2 linked regions of the Lepisosteus oculatus genome follow. The protein of the gene in region 1 purifies or fractionates together with the protein of each later gene. This does not show direct contact. Links are inferred from orthologs where the notes say so. Each region holds a gene or a part of one and is shown on either strand. Other genes may lie near its edges.

Region 1 (7,956 bases):
TCCGTTCCTGACCCGGATCCCGACCCCGCTCCTGCTCCGCCGCCCCCTCCCTGCGCCGCTGCCGCGCCTCCTCGGCCGCCAGCTCGGACAGGTAGTGCCGGACGTTCTGCCGCGCGGCGTGCACCAGCGCGCCGTCGATGTCCAGGCCGGTGACGCGGGCCGGCTGCCAGTTCTTGGCGAGGGTCAGCGTCAGGTGGCCCGTGTTGCAGCCCAGGTCCAGCACGGCCTTGCCCCGGAACCACTCGGGCCGCAGCACCCTGACGCGCGGGTCCTCGCTCCAGCCAGGGTTGCGGTAGCCGTAGTACTTGTTGTAGTTTCCGTACTGGAACTTGCGCTGCTGCTGCTGCTGCTGCTGCTGGCGGCGCCGCCGGTGCGTCCCGGCGCCCCCGCGGGCGCACGAGGCCGAGGCGGCGCTGCCCGGCGCCCCCATCCCGCCGGCGCCCCCGCCCACGGGGGTCTGGAAGGTTTGGGCTTGCTGCCGGGCCGCCCGCCCCTTCTCCGGGGTGACCTTGCGGCCGCCCGCGGCGGGGCCCGGCCCGGCGGCGGCCGAGGAGGAGTCGGACTTGCTGGACGTGCGCCGGCGCTTGCGGTGCCTCGCCGGGCAGGAGGGCGGCGCCGCCGAGCCCGGGGGGGCCGAGGCGCAGGAGGAGGGGTCGGCCGCGCTGGGCGGCAGGATGGGCTGCACCACCTCGTCGCGGCAGTTGATGGAGGTGTTGAGCTCGTAGGGCCGCGGGGACTCCGGCACGGGCGTGAGGCCGGCCCCGGGCGCGGCGCCCTCGGCGGGGGCCTGCGGGACCGCGCTCCCGGGCACGGAGGAGGACAGCGCCGCCCCGGCGCCCCGGCCCTCGCGCAGGGCGCCCGCCCGGCCCGGCTCGGCGGGGTCCGGCTGCGTGGAGACGCCCCCCCCGCCGCCGCCGCCGCCGCCGCCTCCGCCGTGGTGCCGGTGCCGGTGCCGCTTGCGGCCCCCGCCGCCCGTCTTCATGGGCGACACCAGCAGGCCGGTCTCTCCGCCGGCGCAGTTCAGGTTGAGCGGGTCGGTGATGTCCTTGGGGATCAGGATCTCCACCGGGTCGCGGCTCTTGGCGGGCAGCGGGGAGGACTTGGGCGTCTCGGCGTTCAGCGCGCGGTTCACCTCCTCGTCCAGCAGGCTGTTGAGGTTCAGGGGGTCGAAGATGTTGCCCCCCAGGAGGAAGTTGGTGGGCAGCACGGGGTCGCTCTCCGAGTTGGCGCGCCGCCGCCTCTTGCTGAAGCCGGGGTGCTTGAACCCCACGTTCACGCTGTTCCTGCGCTTGAAGGCCTTCTGCTGCTGCTGCTGCTGCTGCTGCTGCTGCTGGAGCCCGTTCTTGGGCCTGGCGGCGCCGCAATCCCGGCCCGGCTGCTCCGCCGGCTCCGTGCCCGCTTGGGCGGCGGCGCCCCCCTGCGGGCGGGGGGCGCTGCTGCGGTCGCCGGCGCACTCCCCCTCCGGCTGCGCGCGGCGCTGGGGCTGGTCCTGGGGCCCGCTGGCGCCCAGCCCGGCCGGCTCCTTGTCCACCGACATCTCGATCATCTCCTGCTGGGCCCCGGGGCGACGCCGGCGGCACTGCGCATGGACCTGCGGAGCAGACACAGGGGGGCGAGAGTCAGCGCGGCACGGCGGCGGGGAGCACCGCGTCTCCCACCCCTCCCATCCCGCTCACCTCATAGGCCGCCCGACGATCGCTCTAGCCCCTCTCACCTCTACAACAACTCCCCCCCCAGCCTCCTCTGGCCTTGAGAGCACCAGCACACTTTCCCCGACAAAGACGTGTTTCACAGAAACCAGGCAGCCAAGCAGCCCGTCCCTGCAGAAAACAGAATTCCTTCAGCGGCTGACAAACGTCTTTCTTTTGTTTTTTTAGTCCTCGGCACTAGGAGCTGCTTGGCTTTGCGAATGAGCTGCCGAGTCTCTTGTCCATGTGCTTTGTGGTAGCAGCAAAGCAGGAAAAAAAAAACGTTGTCTATTCGTCCGGCAGCGTCAGCCCACCCTCTCCCGTGCGTGCCCCTGCGTGCTCCCGCCCCCTCCCGGCAGCGAGGAAGAGATTTGCATAGCCACGCCCCCGCGTCGCCAAACGTCCCCCCGCGCTCATGAATAATTCATGAGACATAGGAGCTCTATGGAGGCAAGAAAAAAAGCGCACACATACACACACACACGGAGACACAGATACACACATACACGCAGCCTGGTCGCCGTATTCTCCGCCTTCCCGTTTGCTGAAGCTGCACCCCCAACTTTCCCTCCCCCGAGTTTTTTTAGTAAGTCAATCGGAAAAATTAAATCCACCCAACAACTGACTTGGCGAGAGACATTTTTTTTTCTGGATCGTGCCCGCAAGTTTTGTTTTTTCTTAAATATATATTTATACATTAAAAGTACCACACGAAATCAAAAAGTATGAAATCTGCAAGACCCACCCCCTCCAAGAAATCAGTTTTCGTCTGAACTGAATTATTTAAAAAACAAAAAAACAATTTTTTTGTTTGAACTCGCAGTCAGTGTGTGTGTGAGTGTCAGTGAGCTCTCTCTCGCTGGACCCCCCTCTCGCGGCTCTAATCAGCGAGACTAGCTCGAGCTGCTGGATCTCGCGCTGCGTTTTGGCGTCTCCTCGAGCTTTATATGTCTCTCGTGTAGCCCAGGAAAAAAAGACCGGCAGCCACGCCAGCCAATCAGAGGAGGAAATACCTCCCCGCCTTTCTTCGTCTGACCAATAGGAAGGAACGGGGGGAGAGGCGTAACGACTAACCTCGTCTCTTCCTCCCCCCTTTTCCCTGTAGGTCTCTAGTACAGTGCCTGACAAAAATACATTTCCCACAAGGGCTGGACGCTATTTTTATAAACCAACGCCCTAATATGCGAAAAACAAATGAAAATAATTTCACTGCGTCTCGGCTGACTTTCAGCGTTGGCCTGTTTTTTTTTAATTACAACCGACAGCACTTTTTCTCCCTGTTCAGACAGGAAACCGCCGCGGCCACCCCAACCCGTGTAAACAACCTGGTGTTTCACTGCCGCCGGAACGAATCTCGCTCTTTCTCCGGCACAGCCGCACCCACACAAAGGACGATAAAATGCTCGCACGCTGAATAGTGTGATGTGTCTTCGAGAAAGAAAGTCGTAGCGGTTAAAACGCGGTCCCCGCCCCCTCCCCCTTCCACCGCTTCCCCTCCCCCCCAGCACTCGGCGCTTGCCTGCGACAGCACGTGAGGCAGGTCCTCGAGCCTTCCGTGGAGGATTCTGGGACATGTAGTTTTCCCAGTCGCGACAGTCCACTCCAGACGGTTTCGCGACTGGAGAGCTTCTTCCTAAACGCGCACAGTGAAGCGCAAGGCGTGTTATAAACGCACCTCTTTCCACTGACGTCTTCTTAAGCACGTCAGTCTTTTACCCTCTGATGACCGTCTTCGAGTTACAAAGCTCACCACAGCGAATTCACCGTGAAGAACTAACGTTGTTCAGTGACCCCGTGGTTCACGCAGCGGCATCTACACGACTAGATGCTTGCAAAATCCAGCCGCCCCCCCCCCCTTCGTTCGATACAACGTTATTCACTCCTCCACTTCATTTTATTACAATAAAGCCACCCGCAGTGGAGCGTTTTAGAACTGTCCCCTGCGCACAGGTGCCGGCTGAGTGACAGAGGTCAGTCCTCTCTCGTGTGATGTTCCCACCCGCGGGCCCGGGCTGGACCGACTTCACGCCTCCAGGCCCCCGTGTCGCCCGAACGGCGCACACGTTCCCACGAAGCGTTAACCAGGAGTAAGCGCCCCTCGCACCACCCAGGCAACGTACACAATAAATCGAGTGGCCTGTGGTCTGTCGCAGTTTCGGCCTCCCTTGTCCATTAATCCCGGTTCGGCGGAGATTTTTAACCAGGTGCGGCACATAACCCCCTTCCACAGCCCCGCGAACACCAGCAGTGAGTTACTGTGATGTGTTGCTGCTACTGACCTCCGTTTCCATCGCGTTCCTTGAACACACAGGCGCCCGGAGTGCACAAATCCTGTCGCAACACGCGAAGCACAGGAGTCGGGAAACCAGCGAACCGGTTGTCAGCCAGTGCTGGATAAAATCCGAGGAGGCAGAACAGGTAAATAAGAATAGGCCAGTTGGCAGCATCCATAAAGATAACTGGTAAGAATGTGTCCACAAACACCACTCGTTGAGGTAAATTCATTACAGATTAACGTGGTTTAGTCGTCGTTCTGGCGCTCTTCTGACGTCATGATACATCGTTAACAGCTGGAACAGCATTTCTTGTATATTTTCTCCCGCTTTGTGATATTCTTTCTTTACAACGATAACAGAGTACAGTAATAACCCTCAGACGTCAGGCCTACGTGCAAAGAAATAACATTGAAATAAATGCTAGTATTTCCATGTAAACGTGCCACTCGCCTGCTATTTCAACTACACTGACTCCGTTGGCGAGGGCAAGTGAACGAGTAACCGTAGTGCTGAGGAGCCGAGGACTGTGGCATTTTTTTGATCCCTTGCATACATGATATAACCGCTCTTTTGTAGAGTGTTTTTACACAATGTATTATTCCGTATTGTGTTAGATCTTAGATCTGGCTCGAGACCGCCCTCGGCCCAGCGTGCTCGGAGGGCGGCAAGGCGCGCGAGACCTACCCCGTTGCCCGCGCCAGTCCTCGCCTCGCTGCCCCTAAAAAACGGCTCTAAAACTTGTGACGAATTTTGTTCAGCTTTGTGTTCTCCATCTCCGAGTTTTACTTGTTAAGACAGAAACCTGGCGGTTTTGTGGAGAATGGACGAAGGAAAAGGTAAAAAAAGGAGCGTTTTTTCTCTTTTAATCTTGTTCCAGCCTGGGTAGGCAAGGCCCGGTCCAGCTGTGGGATTTCCGTCACGGTACCCGCGACCGGTGTTACTTGGGACCAATGACTTTTTTATGAATTTATTCTACATTTGCTTGTGTTCTGTTCACATTTTCCCGAGTTTTTATTTTAAAGATGTGATACCCCTCTTTGAACGGATAACATGTTACTTTCAGTCGCTTTTCCCAACCAATGTACAAACCTTATCGCCATTGGTTCTTTAGTTTTCTTTTAAAATGTAAAGAAATGGATGAGATCGCAAGTAAATGAATACACTTCATAAATCCGAAGTCATTGTTTTCAGTAAAAGAAACAACAGTTTCTATCCACCGTACAGAAAATGTGATTCGATTACATTTGACTGCAATTTAACATACAGATCGTCAATCTGTCTTCGATGTGAATTACATAGACAATTGGGGCTTTAATTATTTAAATCTTTCCTTTTTCGGGTGTCTGGTCTGGAAGGAAATTGACAGTACGTTTTAACAATGTTTATATGAGACCCACCACCAAATATTGTACATTGAGGTTTAATAATATTGGAAACCTGGTTGAGAACCTTTCAAAAACCAAATTATTACAAATCTCAAGTGACTCCCTAAAGTAAATGTGGGTAAATTATGTAAAACACATACATAATTCAAAGACCTGCACGTGTCTGAGACCAAGGTTGTGTATGTGAGACTGCAAGCGTGAATGTGTTACTTAAGAGTGTGTGAGTCCTTGAGAGTCTGTCTGTGGGTGTGTGTGAGTCTTGATAGTGTGTCTGGGTTGTGTGTGAGTCATGAGAGTATGTCTGGGGTGTGTGTGTGAATCTTGAGAGTGTATTTGGGTGTGGGTGAGTCCTGAGAGTGTGTCTTGATGAACTCACCTACTGTGTTTTCTCAAATAAGGCGACAGTGGTGCAGTGGTTAGCGCTGAAGCCCAGTAGCACTGGGGCCCAGGCTGCTATCTGTGTGGAGTTTGCGTGTTCTCCCTGTGTTTGCGTGGGTTTCCTCCCACAGTCCAAAGCCATGCTGGCAGGTTCATTGACTTCTGGGAACACTGGCGCTGGTGTGAGTGTCTGTGTGTGTACCCTTTGCACAAAGGGTGGTGGGAGTGTGGATCAAGCTGTCCAGATGTGTTGCTAAAGCCGATATCCAGGGCCCTTTCATGAAACAGCTGGACAAGATCTTGGCATCGATTGGCTACCAACTAGCAAACCTGGCACATGTGCCAACAGGCCTGCTCTCGCCTGCCACCTTCCTCCTGTGCTTCAAGAGTGATTCCTGAAATCTGACAGCGAGTCCTCCGGCAGCTTGTCCAGCCGGCGTTCTTGGATTTAAGCACGACAGCGTTTCAGATGTGTGTGTCCCTAGTTTATGTCCCATCAGTATGTCTTTGTGTTGTGCAGAGAAGCTGAAGATGAAGAAGCCAAAGTTCGCTCCCCCAGTCGCCCTGGGTGGGCCGGGCGACGGACAGGGGAAAGGGCCGCAGGAGGAGAGGGGAGCAGGAGTGAGGGAGAGGGAAAAGGCGGCGGGGTCGAGAGGAAGGCCATGTCGGAAGGCCGGCGAGGAGAGCCCGGGACGGGGAATCGGAGCAGGGAGAAGCGCAGGAGAGGAATCCACGGAGGTGTTGGGAAAGGGGCCGATTCCTCGGACGGGGAAGAGCAGGTCAGCGGCTGCGGGCGGCAAGAGGCCCGAGGAGCGGAGCCTGAGGGTGCCGGGGCTGGAGGGCCAGGCAAGGGAGCTCCTGGGGCCTGGGAGGACAGGGGGGGAGAGAAGGAGGAAGGGGAAGGCTGTAGGCCCCGGTGGAGGTTCGGGAAGGGGAGAGGGGTGGGAGGAGAAGACCCTCCGGGGGGAAGAGGAGGAGGGCACTGCGCGGCCAGGCCCAGCTGGGATAAAGGAGAGCCTGGCAGGCTGCACGGGTGGAAAGGGCTGGGCGGGATTGCAGCCCGGAGGCAAGAGAGCGGGAGCCGCAGAGCCGAGCGGGAGGAAGAAGGACAGAGTGGGCGGCCAGCGCGGAGACAGGCCACTGCCCGGAGGGACGGGCTCTGTCCTGAAAGAGGGAGCAAAGGAGGGAGACCGGCCCAAAAGCGACAAGAAGAAACCAAAGATGAAAACTGGGGAGTCAGACCAGGAGCCTGAGGAGAAACCTAGAGGCCTACCTGTCTGGAGGACAACAGGGGAAGAGAGGGCAGGGACCCCAAAAAACAGCAAGGTAACAGAGGGGTGAGAGAAGAGTGTGGGTTAGAGAGGGGGTGAGAGAGGAGTGTGGGTTAGAGAGGGGGTGAAGGAGGGTGGGTGAGAGAGGAGTGTGGGTTAGAGACGGGGTGAGAGGGGAGTGTGGGGGTGAGAGAGGAGTGTGGGTTAGAGAGGGGGTGAGGGAGGGTGGGGTGAGAGAGGAGTGTGGGTTAGAGACGGGGTGAGAGAGGAGTGTGGGGGTGAGAGAAGAGTGTGGGTTAGAGAGGGGGTGAGAGGAGTGTGGGTTAGAGAGGGGGTGAGAGAGGAGTGTGGGGGTGAGAGAAGAGTGTGGGTTAGAGAGGGGGTGAGAGAGGAGTGTGGGTTAGAGAGGGGGTGAGGGAGGGTGGGGTGAGAGAGGAGTGTGGGTTAGAGACGGGGTGAGAGAGGAGTGTGGGTTAGAGAGCGGGTGAGAGAGGAGTGTGGGTTAGAGAGGGGGTGAGAGAGGAGTGTGGGGGTGAGAGAGGAGTGTGGGTTAGAGACGGGGTGAGAGAGGAGTGTGGGGGTGAGAGAAGAGTGTGGGTTAGAGAGGGGGTGAGAGAGGAGTGTGGGTTAGAGAGGGGGTGAAGGAGGGTGGGTGAGAGAGGAGTGTGGGTTAGAGACGGGGTGAGAGAGGAGTGTGGGGGTGAGAGAAGAGTGTGGGTTAGAGAGGGGGTGAGAGAGGAGTGTGGGTTAGAGAGGGGGTGAGAGAGGAGTGTGGGGGTGAGAGAAGAGTGTGGGTTAGAGAGGGGGTGAGAGAGGAGTGTGGGTTAGAGAGGGGGTGAAGGAGGAGTGTGGGGGTGAGAGAAGAGTGTGGGTTAGAGAGGGGGTGAGAGAGGAGTGTGGGTTAGAGAGGGGGTGAAGGAGGAGTGTGGGGGTGAGAGAAGAGTGTGGGTTAGAGAGG
Region 2 (7,717 bases), on another chromosome or scaffold:
GCCTCCGCCTCCGGGGCGCCCGGCCCCGCCCCTCCCCTGGAACACCCCGCTGGCCCCTCCCCCGGGCCCCGCTCAGACCCCGCCCCCTCGGGGCCAAGCTCCGCCCCCCATCCAGCTGCACCCTGGGTGAAATACAAACAGCGGATTCAGGCGTGCGCAGGCTGCAGAGGAACAGGTAAAGGTTGATTTCTGTATCTATTTCAATACTCCGTCTCCTTTTTTGTATTTCTGGTGTTTAAATAAAAACATTTAAAAAGAAGTAAAGGTTGATTCCCTGCTGAAAAGAGAAGAAAGGAGACAACGTTTTGGCTGTCGAGCCCGTGTTCACACCCCAAGAAGGCTCCACTGCTGAAACGTTGCGTTTCCTTTCTTCTCTTTTCAGCATGGGTTTAAAGTTCTGTGCCAAAACACATTTCATCTCTCCTCTGCTCAGGTGCTGCAGTTCCCCCCACTGTGCAAAGATATATCAACTGGGTTAACTGGCATCTCCCAGCTGCCCAGCCGGACTGAGCCCCGAGTCTGTCTCCCGCTGGAGGAGCAGAGGAGGGGAATTCCTGCACTGCAGGCGGGTCGGGAGTCGCACGGGACTGTCCCACAGCAAGTATCCCACGGGCCGACGGTGCGAGTCTCGGCTCACGAGCGACTTTCACCTGTACCCTCCCCCTCAGTCCTGCCGTTAACCGCCCCGACTCCTGCTCCCTCGTCTGCCCGCAGTCCTTTACCTCTTCGGCCATGAACACCCCCTCGCCGCGCCCGCTGGACTCGCCGGCTGTGGAGCAGAGCAGCACAAGAGCTCGCCGCCGGAGCGCTCCCCCAGGCGAGTCTGCCAGTGAGAGGCTGCTTCCGCCCTCACCGCGGCGCGACCCGGAAGTCCTTGACGCCACCAGGAAGTTGGGCAAAGAAGGAGGGAGCCCCCCACCCCCGGGTCACGTGGCGGTAAGGGTTTATTTACATCCTGAACAACACTGGAATTACGAGTTATTTTTTCCCCAATGAGGGGTGATTTAACCACTTGGCAGTTTCCATGTACTGTTTCTGCGCCGGAATTGTGATTAATCGCGTAAGGAGGCTGAAGGGCTTGTGTCCGAAATGTGTCTGGGAGGGTTCACGGTATTCAAATGATTCTTTCACCAAGCGAATATCCATTCGCAGCAGCATGTCCCTATTTATGAATATGTATTTTTCCTTTCTATCCCTACTTCTGAAATCCCCTCCAAAAAAAAACAACTGCTGTATATTTCTTACTGTCAATTAATGTTTCTATACCACTTGCGCCCATCTCGAAACCGCCTGCGTCTTTATTTCATCTTGATGTGTGAACGTGTGCGTCCCAGCCGCCCTGCCTTGTTCTTCACACCACAGTCTTCCTCCCGCACTTCCCAGCCCGGTTCTTTCACGCTCTCTCTAGTCTGTGGGACTCAACACCGCTGCTCTCCGCACCCCCCACGCAGAAGGCTCGGCCTCGCCCCCGTGCACGTCGGCAGCGCGCATGACGTCAGCCGCGGCTCGGGATCCGCCCCGGCGTTTCCAGAACCGTCTCCGGGTTCCCCTCGCCAGCCGAGCCGGGCCGGGCACGCCATGGCGCCGCAGCGCCGGCTCCTCCTGGCGCACGGCGCCGCCTACGCCCTGTCCGTGCTGGGCGGCCTCCTGACGGTGGTGCCGCTGGCGCTGAACGGCTCGCACTTCAAGGGCCGGTGCCTGCTCTTCAGCCGGGGCCACTGGCGGCCGGAGGGCGGCCTCGGGGCGCCCCGGCTGCAGGTGCTGGAGTGGGGGCCGCCGGCCGCCTGCCAGCTGCCCGCCTTCGTGGGGGTGTTCACGGTGCTGTTCGGGGCCGTGCAGAGCTGGCGGAGCATCTTCTACCTGCACCGCGGGCACGACGAGTAAGTGGGGGCGGCGGGGTGCCCCGAGCTGCGCGCGGCTGCGGTACCTACAGAATGTTCATCCGCGAGCACTGGAGGCGCAGAGAGGAGGTTTAACTGCCGGGGGTCCAGCGCTGATTCTCTCTCTCTCTCTCTCCAGCACGCCGCTGTGCTCGGCTCTGACGCTGCTGCTCAGTGCCAGCCTGCTCCTTCTGTCTCTGGGCTCCAGCGTCACGCTCAGCCTGGGCTTCCAGTCCTGGTGCGACACCGTCACCGGCCAGCAGGCGGCGCCCTTCAGGTACACAGCTTCGATGCTCGGGTGCAGCGACACTGATCTGAGACACACACACCGATTCTCTGAGACACTCAGCGTGGGCACTGGGGTCAGAGAAGGGTTGGGGTGACCCAGAGACCGATCCCAGCGCACCGGTCTGGGTTAAAGTTTCACCTTTAACCTTTCACCTCCTGGGACGAGGCAGCTCCCAGTTTAGTTCGGACCCTGAGCAGCACTGCACAGGCCCACCGGACAGCACCAGGTCTTGGTCCGGTCCACCCCGATCCACCCACAGTCTTCCGAAATGTTTCAGCCTGTTTCTCACTCTGACCTCCTGCTGACCTCTCTCTCCCTCTCCAGCTGTGCAGAGGCCCAGGCCACCCCCCTGTACCTGGACGTGGACACAACAGCCTTCTACAGCGAGCTCACCTGGGCACAGGTAACACTGGACACCTGTACCGTCCTGTCAGTGTGTGTGTATGAACCCCTCTCTCTCTCAGTGCAGTGTTCATGTACTGGAGTGTCCAGTCAGTGTGTCTGTATGAACCCCTCTCTCTCTCAGTGCAGTGTTCATGTACTGGAGTGTCCAGTCAGTGTGTCTGTATTAACCCCTCTCTCTCTTAGTGCAGTGTTAATGTACTGGAGTGTCCAGTCAGTGTGTCTGTATTAACCCCTCTCTCTCTTAGTGCAGTGTTAATGTACTGGAGTGTCCAGTCAGTGTCTGTATGAACCCCTCTCTCTCTGTCCCAGGCTGGCCTGTGGGGAGTGTCCGTGCTGTGGCTGGCCCTCTCTGTGCTGTCTTTCCTGAGGCTGTATTGCTCCCACAGGAGGGAGGTACTAGGGCCCTGCCTGGCCAGGGAGAAGGAGCTCCTGCTGGGACTTGGCTGTGACCCTCAACCTATGACCTCTCACCCCTGCACACATGAACACCCCGCTGGGCACTTTATCTGACCTCCACACATACGCACATAAACTGCACTGACCCCACTGGACACCTCAGGACAGTGTGGCCCCCAGCACTGACCCCACTGGACACCTCAGGGCAGGCACTCATGTACTTCTGACACAGAAATCATGCAGTTGTAGTAGAGCCACACACACACACACACACACACAGGGTGACCGCACTCGTACCCGCGCAGGAAACACACATGGCCGCTGGGACAGCACCCCCCGGAGGGTGGAGCTCGCCTGCCGCGGTCCGGATGACAGAGTCTGTGGCGACGCCAGCGCCGGGAGAAGTTCTCCTCGCCTCCTCAAGGGGGCGCCGGCAGGCTCGCAGCTCTCCGCCAGGGCCGCACCCGGAGGAGTCGGAGCGACGTCCGATCGGAAGGACGGAGCACGAGGGGGTCCAGTCCCTGTCTGGGGGGACCCCCCTGCTCTGAAGAGCGCCGCCTGAGGACACCCCCTTCCTCCAGGGTGCCCGGGGCTGACTGGGCTGCTGTGACCCCAGATTCCAGAGCGAGGACCCCAGGGGTGAGCAGTGACCCCTCCGGGGTGGGGCGCTGTGTTCCTGCACAGAGTGTTATTTTTCCAGGACCTGCGCGTCTGGCTGGAAGCGTGGTGGTGGTGGTTGTTGTTGGTGTTTTTTTTTAAAACAAAATTAATAAAGCTGAATTTTAACTTTGATTTTGCTTGTCCATCTTCTGACGCCGTCAGCTTGTCCCACACCCCCACCCCCCACTGTGTACAGACGTGCCAGGGGCTCGTACCTGGAGCCCAGTGCCCCTGGGGGAGGGATACAGATCGTTGGCTTCTGGGACGTCCCACGCGGGCTGGGTGAAGAGACCTTGGGGTCCCCTGTGTTTCTGCCTGGGGGGCGCCCCAACACTCGCTGCTCAACAGCACAGACAGCGGGAGAGATTCGGGGTGTCTAAACACCAGAGGACCTTGGGGTGTCGCTGGAGAGATCCCTGCCAGTCCGACCCCTGCTGCCTCACTGCCTGCATGGCCTTGGGGTCACTGCTCTGGCCAGGGGGTCACTCCGCTGGGCACGGGGTCACTGCTCTGGCCAGGGGTCACTCCGCTGGGCATGGGGTCACTGCTCTGAGCCTCTCCAGTAGGGATGCTGGGGACCCCATAATGAAAAGAGTCACTTGGGGTGGCTGGTATGCTTTTAATACTGCAATTCGCAGTATTTGCAGCGTACTTGTAAGATAATAAAATGATAAATTTGTTTATGTTGATGAAGCTAACAGTTGTTTTCCTGCTTCGTTTTGATCAAGTGGCCATTTTGACAGACGTCACTTCCCTAGTTTCTCGACTGAAACCTTCTCAGTGTCCAATGGGTTTCTTTTTATTCCTAATCAGAAGCTTTCCGCTTACAGCCAATAGAAAAAAAGCCCAGGCCTAACCCCTTCGTGTTGCTAGGTAAAAATGCGGGCCAGTGTACCACACTCGATTTTAAAAGGAGGGTTTAAAAATCAACCGTCCAATCCAAAAAAGCGACATAACGGTGCATCGAGTGCCCAATCGGCTGCGAGAGTTGAAGCCAGTGGGCGGGGTGACGGTCTCCTCTACCAATCAGAAAATTTATGTTCCCATGCGTCGTTGCTAGGTAAAACTCACGTAGGCTGGCCAGTCCCCGTTTCTTCCTTTCGTCAGGTGACGCTGTATTTACAAACTGTAACGGGATCTGATAGCGGGCAATATATTTTTTAAAAATTAGGGGGAGACGGGATAATTTTTTTTTTTAACCAGAAAAAGGGAGGACAGACACTGAAGTGGAAATGAGCGCGCTGGACGTGAAGAAGCTGAAAGTGGCCGAGTTACGGACCGAGCTGCAGCAGCGCGGCCTGGACACTCGAGGGCTGAAGGCCGACCTGGTGGAGCGGCTGCTGGCCGCCATCGAGGCCGAGACGGCGGGGGCGGCGCCAGGAGAGGCCGGGGATGTCGGGCCTACGGAGGTGGACGCCGGGGAGCCCCAGGAGGCCCCAGGAGGGGAGACCGAGGCGGTTGAATTGACGGCGGGGGACCAGCAGAGTATCGCTGGGGTGGAGGAGGAGGAGGAAGAAGAGGAGGAGGAGGAGGAAGTCGCCCAGGCGACGGAGGCAGAGTCGGCGAGGCCGGAGCCTCTGGAGGCCCTCGGCCCGAGCGATGCCGGGCCCCAGCCGCCCGAGCAGGCACCCAGAGAGGCAGAGACGCCCGTCGAAGCTGCTCCCCCGACGGTGGACGTACAGCCGGACCCGAAGCCGCTCTCCGAAGCAGAAGAGGCTGTCAGCCCGGCCCAGGCGTCGCCTGCCCCTTCCCCGCAGAGGCCCGCGGCCCAGGAGCCCCAGCCGATCGAGGCGCCGGGGGAGCAGACAGCCAGGCCTGGAGACGCACGGCCACAGCAGCCCGAAGGCCCATCCGCGGAACAGGACACCCAGGCCTCCCCGCCGGGCGCCGAGCCGGGGGCTGGAGTAACCGGCTCGCCGGTGAGGAACGCCCAGTCGCCGGCCAGAGCCAAGGAGACGCCGGCCGCGAGCAGCGAGGCGGCCGCCGCCACACCAGCCCCGGCCTCCACGGGCAGCGCAGCGCAGGGGGACGGGGTGAACGGGCAGCCTCAGGGCCGGCCGGGGGCCGCCGAGGGAGGCAGCGAGGAGTCCGGCTCGGAGATGGAGGCGGACGGGGAGCCGACCGGCGAGGGGACGGGTGAGGAGCCGCCGTGGAGCTGCGTGTGCAGCCTGACAGGGCCGGAGGGGGGCTGGCGGAGCCCGGGTGTGCAGCAGTCTGATCCGCTCCGGGTCTGCGGGCCCCGTGTCGGGTCTCTGCCGCGCTGACTTGTCTCCCTCTCCCGGCAGGGGCGGCGGCCGAGGGCGAGCGCCGGGGGGTGAAGCGGCCGCACGGCGAGAGGGGCCGGGGCTACTACGAGTTCAAGGAGGAGATCAACTACAACAGGTAGGTCGCGGGGCCGGGGGACTAAGGGGCCCGGGGGGCGCAGAGACACGCGTGTTCCTGACTGTGTCTGTGTCCGCGCTGCAGGGCCAAGTCTCCAGACCCGGAGCCGGAGCTGGGTGAGGAAGAGGAGGTGGACGAAGGACAAGTGCGCCTGGATTCCTGTGAGTCAGCTGGCCGTCCTCTGACACGCACACTGTGACTCGGGGTCACGCTCTCCTGGGGGCTCTGTGACTCGGGGTCACTGTGCCTCGGGGGCTCTCTTGGGGGTCACTGTACCTCTGGGGCTCTCTTGGGGGTCACTGTGACTCAGGGTCATGCTCTCCTGGGGGTCACTGTGCCTCTGGAGCTCTCCTGGGGGTCACTGTGACTCAGGGTCATGCTCTCCTGGGGGTCACTGTGCCTCTGGAGCTCTCCTGGGGGTCACTGTGACTCAGGGTCATGCTCTCCCGGGGGTCACTCTACCTCGGGGGCTCTCCTGGGGGCGTGTGTGTGTTGTGTAACGGCAGCCCCCCCTGTCTCTCTCCCCCAGACAACAGCGACCTGCACTTCGAGGTGGGGAAGGGCGCGCTGGGCGGGCAGCCCCTCTTCTCCGAGCGGTTCCCCTTCCTGTGGTCGGGCTGCAGGGTCACCCACGGCGTCGCGCAGGGGCAGGTCGGGTTCGAGGCCAAGGTGGGTGCGCTCGTCCGTCCTGCGCTGAGAGAGAGGCGCACGCACTCACACACGCACACACACTGACGCGCGCTGTCCGCCCGTCCTGCAGTTCGTCAGGAAGCTGTCGGACAAGGAGCTGCAGCCCGACGACCCGGAGGTGCCGGTGCTGAGAGTCGGCTGGTCGGTGGACGGGTCCAGCTTCCAGCTGGGTGAGTATCTGCCCCCGAGCGCGTCCCTGCTAACTGCCCCCCTTCTGCTAACTGCCCCGGCCCACGCGTGACCTCTCCCCTGCTCCCCGCCCCCCGCAGGAGAGGACGACCTGTCCTACGGGTATGACGGACGGGGCAAGAAGGTGACGGGGGGCCAGGCGGAAGACTTCGGGGAGCCCTTTGCGGAGAACGACGTGATCGGCTGCTTCGCGGTGAGTCGGGGGGGCCGTCCCCGGGAGGGGTGTCTCGCCGCCCGCCCCGGGTGCCGAGCTGACCCGCGGCCCTCTCTCCCCAGAGCTTCTCGGACGAGGAGGTGGAGCTGTCCTTCCAGAAGAACGGCTGCCCGCTGGGCGTGGCGTTCCGCGTGGGCCGCGGGCCCCTGGCCGGCCGCGCGCTCTTCCCCCACGTGCTCTGCCGCAACTGCGCCGTGGCGCTGCACCTGGGCCAGGAGGAGGCGCCCTGGCACCCCGGCCCCGCCGGCTTCGCCCTGCTGCACTCCCTGCCCCCCGAGCAGCGCGTGCGCGCGCCCGTGGCGCCCCGGACCAAGGAGGAGTGCGAGGTGGGTGGGCGTCCGCGCCGTCGGCCGCAGAGCGCGACCCTCGCGAGACCCGTCCCCCTGGCGACGAACGGGGGTCGTGACCCTCTGTGGCTGAGCTCAGGGGAGGCACAGAAGGCGAAGGTCGTGGGAGGGTTTTGTGGGCCCGAACCTCTAAAGTTCGGGGTTCACAGTGACCCCTGACCGCTGTGTGTGTGTGTGTGTCTTGCCAGGTTATTCTGATGGTGGGCATGCCTGGTGCCGGGAAGACCCACTGGGCCCGGAACCACATGGCCCAGAACCCAGAGAA

The links. The genes of interacting proteins can lie anywhere in the genome.
Region 2: the proteins of mepcea (region 1) and heterogeneous nuclear ribonucleoprotein U-like protein 2 purify together in Homo sapiens (affinity purification with mass spectrometry; 3 studies listed by BioGRID and IntAct, with this or other methods). This does not show direct contact. The link is inferred for Lepisosteus oculatus from reciprocal best matches to the Homo sapiens genes MEPCE and HNRNPUL2.

What each region holds. Positions count from the first base shown.
Region 1 is NC_090698.1:10,420,815-10,428,770, reverse strand, and holds the start of mepcea (7SK snRNA methylphosphate capping enzyme), read right to left. Parts: upstream 3,098-7,956; 5' UTR 3,014-3,097; intron 2,985-3,013; exon of another isoform or gene 2,434-2,984; intron 1,821-2,433; exon of another isoform or gene 1,677-1,820; intron 1,592-1,676; coding exon of another isoform or gene 1,547-1,591; coding exon 1-1,546. Other genes in the region: zinc finger CW-type PWWP domain protein 1-like, read left to right, coding at 6,229-7,053. UniProt on the Homo sapiens protein: S-adenosyl-L-methionine-dependent methyltransferase that adds a methylphosphate cap at the 5'-end of 7SK snRNA (7SK RNA), leading to stabilize it.
Region 2 is NC_090713.1:23,278,243-23,285,959, reverse strand, and holds the start of heterogeneous nuclear ribonucleoprotein U-like protein 2, read left to right. Parts: upstream 1-4,699; 5' UTR 4,700-4,862; coding exon 4,863-5,766; intron 5,767-5,915; coding exon 5,916-6,012; intron 6,013-6,096; coding exon 6,097-6,173; intron 6,174-6,541; coding exon 6,542-6,681; intron 6,682-6,772; coding exon 6,773-6,872; intron 6,873-6,971; coding exon 6,972-7,084; intron 7,085-7,167; coding exon 7,168-7,431; intron 7,432-7,640; coding exon 7,641-7,717. Other genes in the region: ttc9c (tetratricopeptide repeat protein 9C), read right to left, coding at 1-122, 723-734; transmembrane protein 179, read left to right, coding at 1,579-1,880, 2,020-2,157, 2,494-2,572, 2,884-3,084.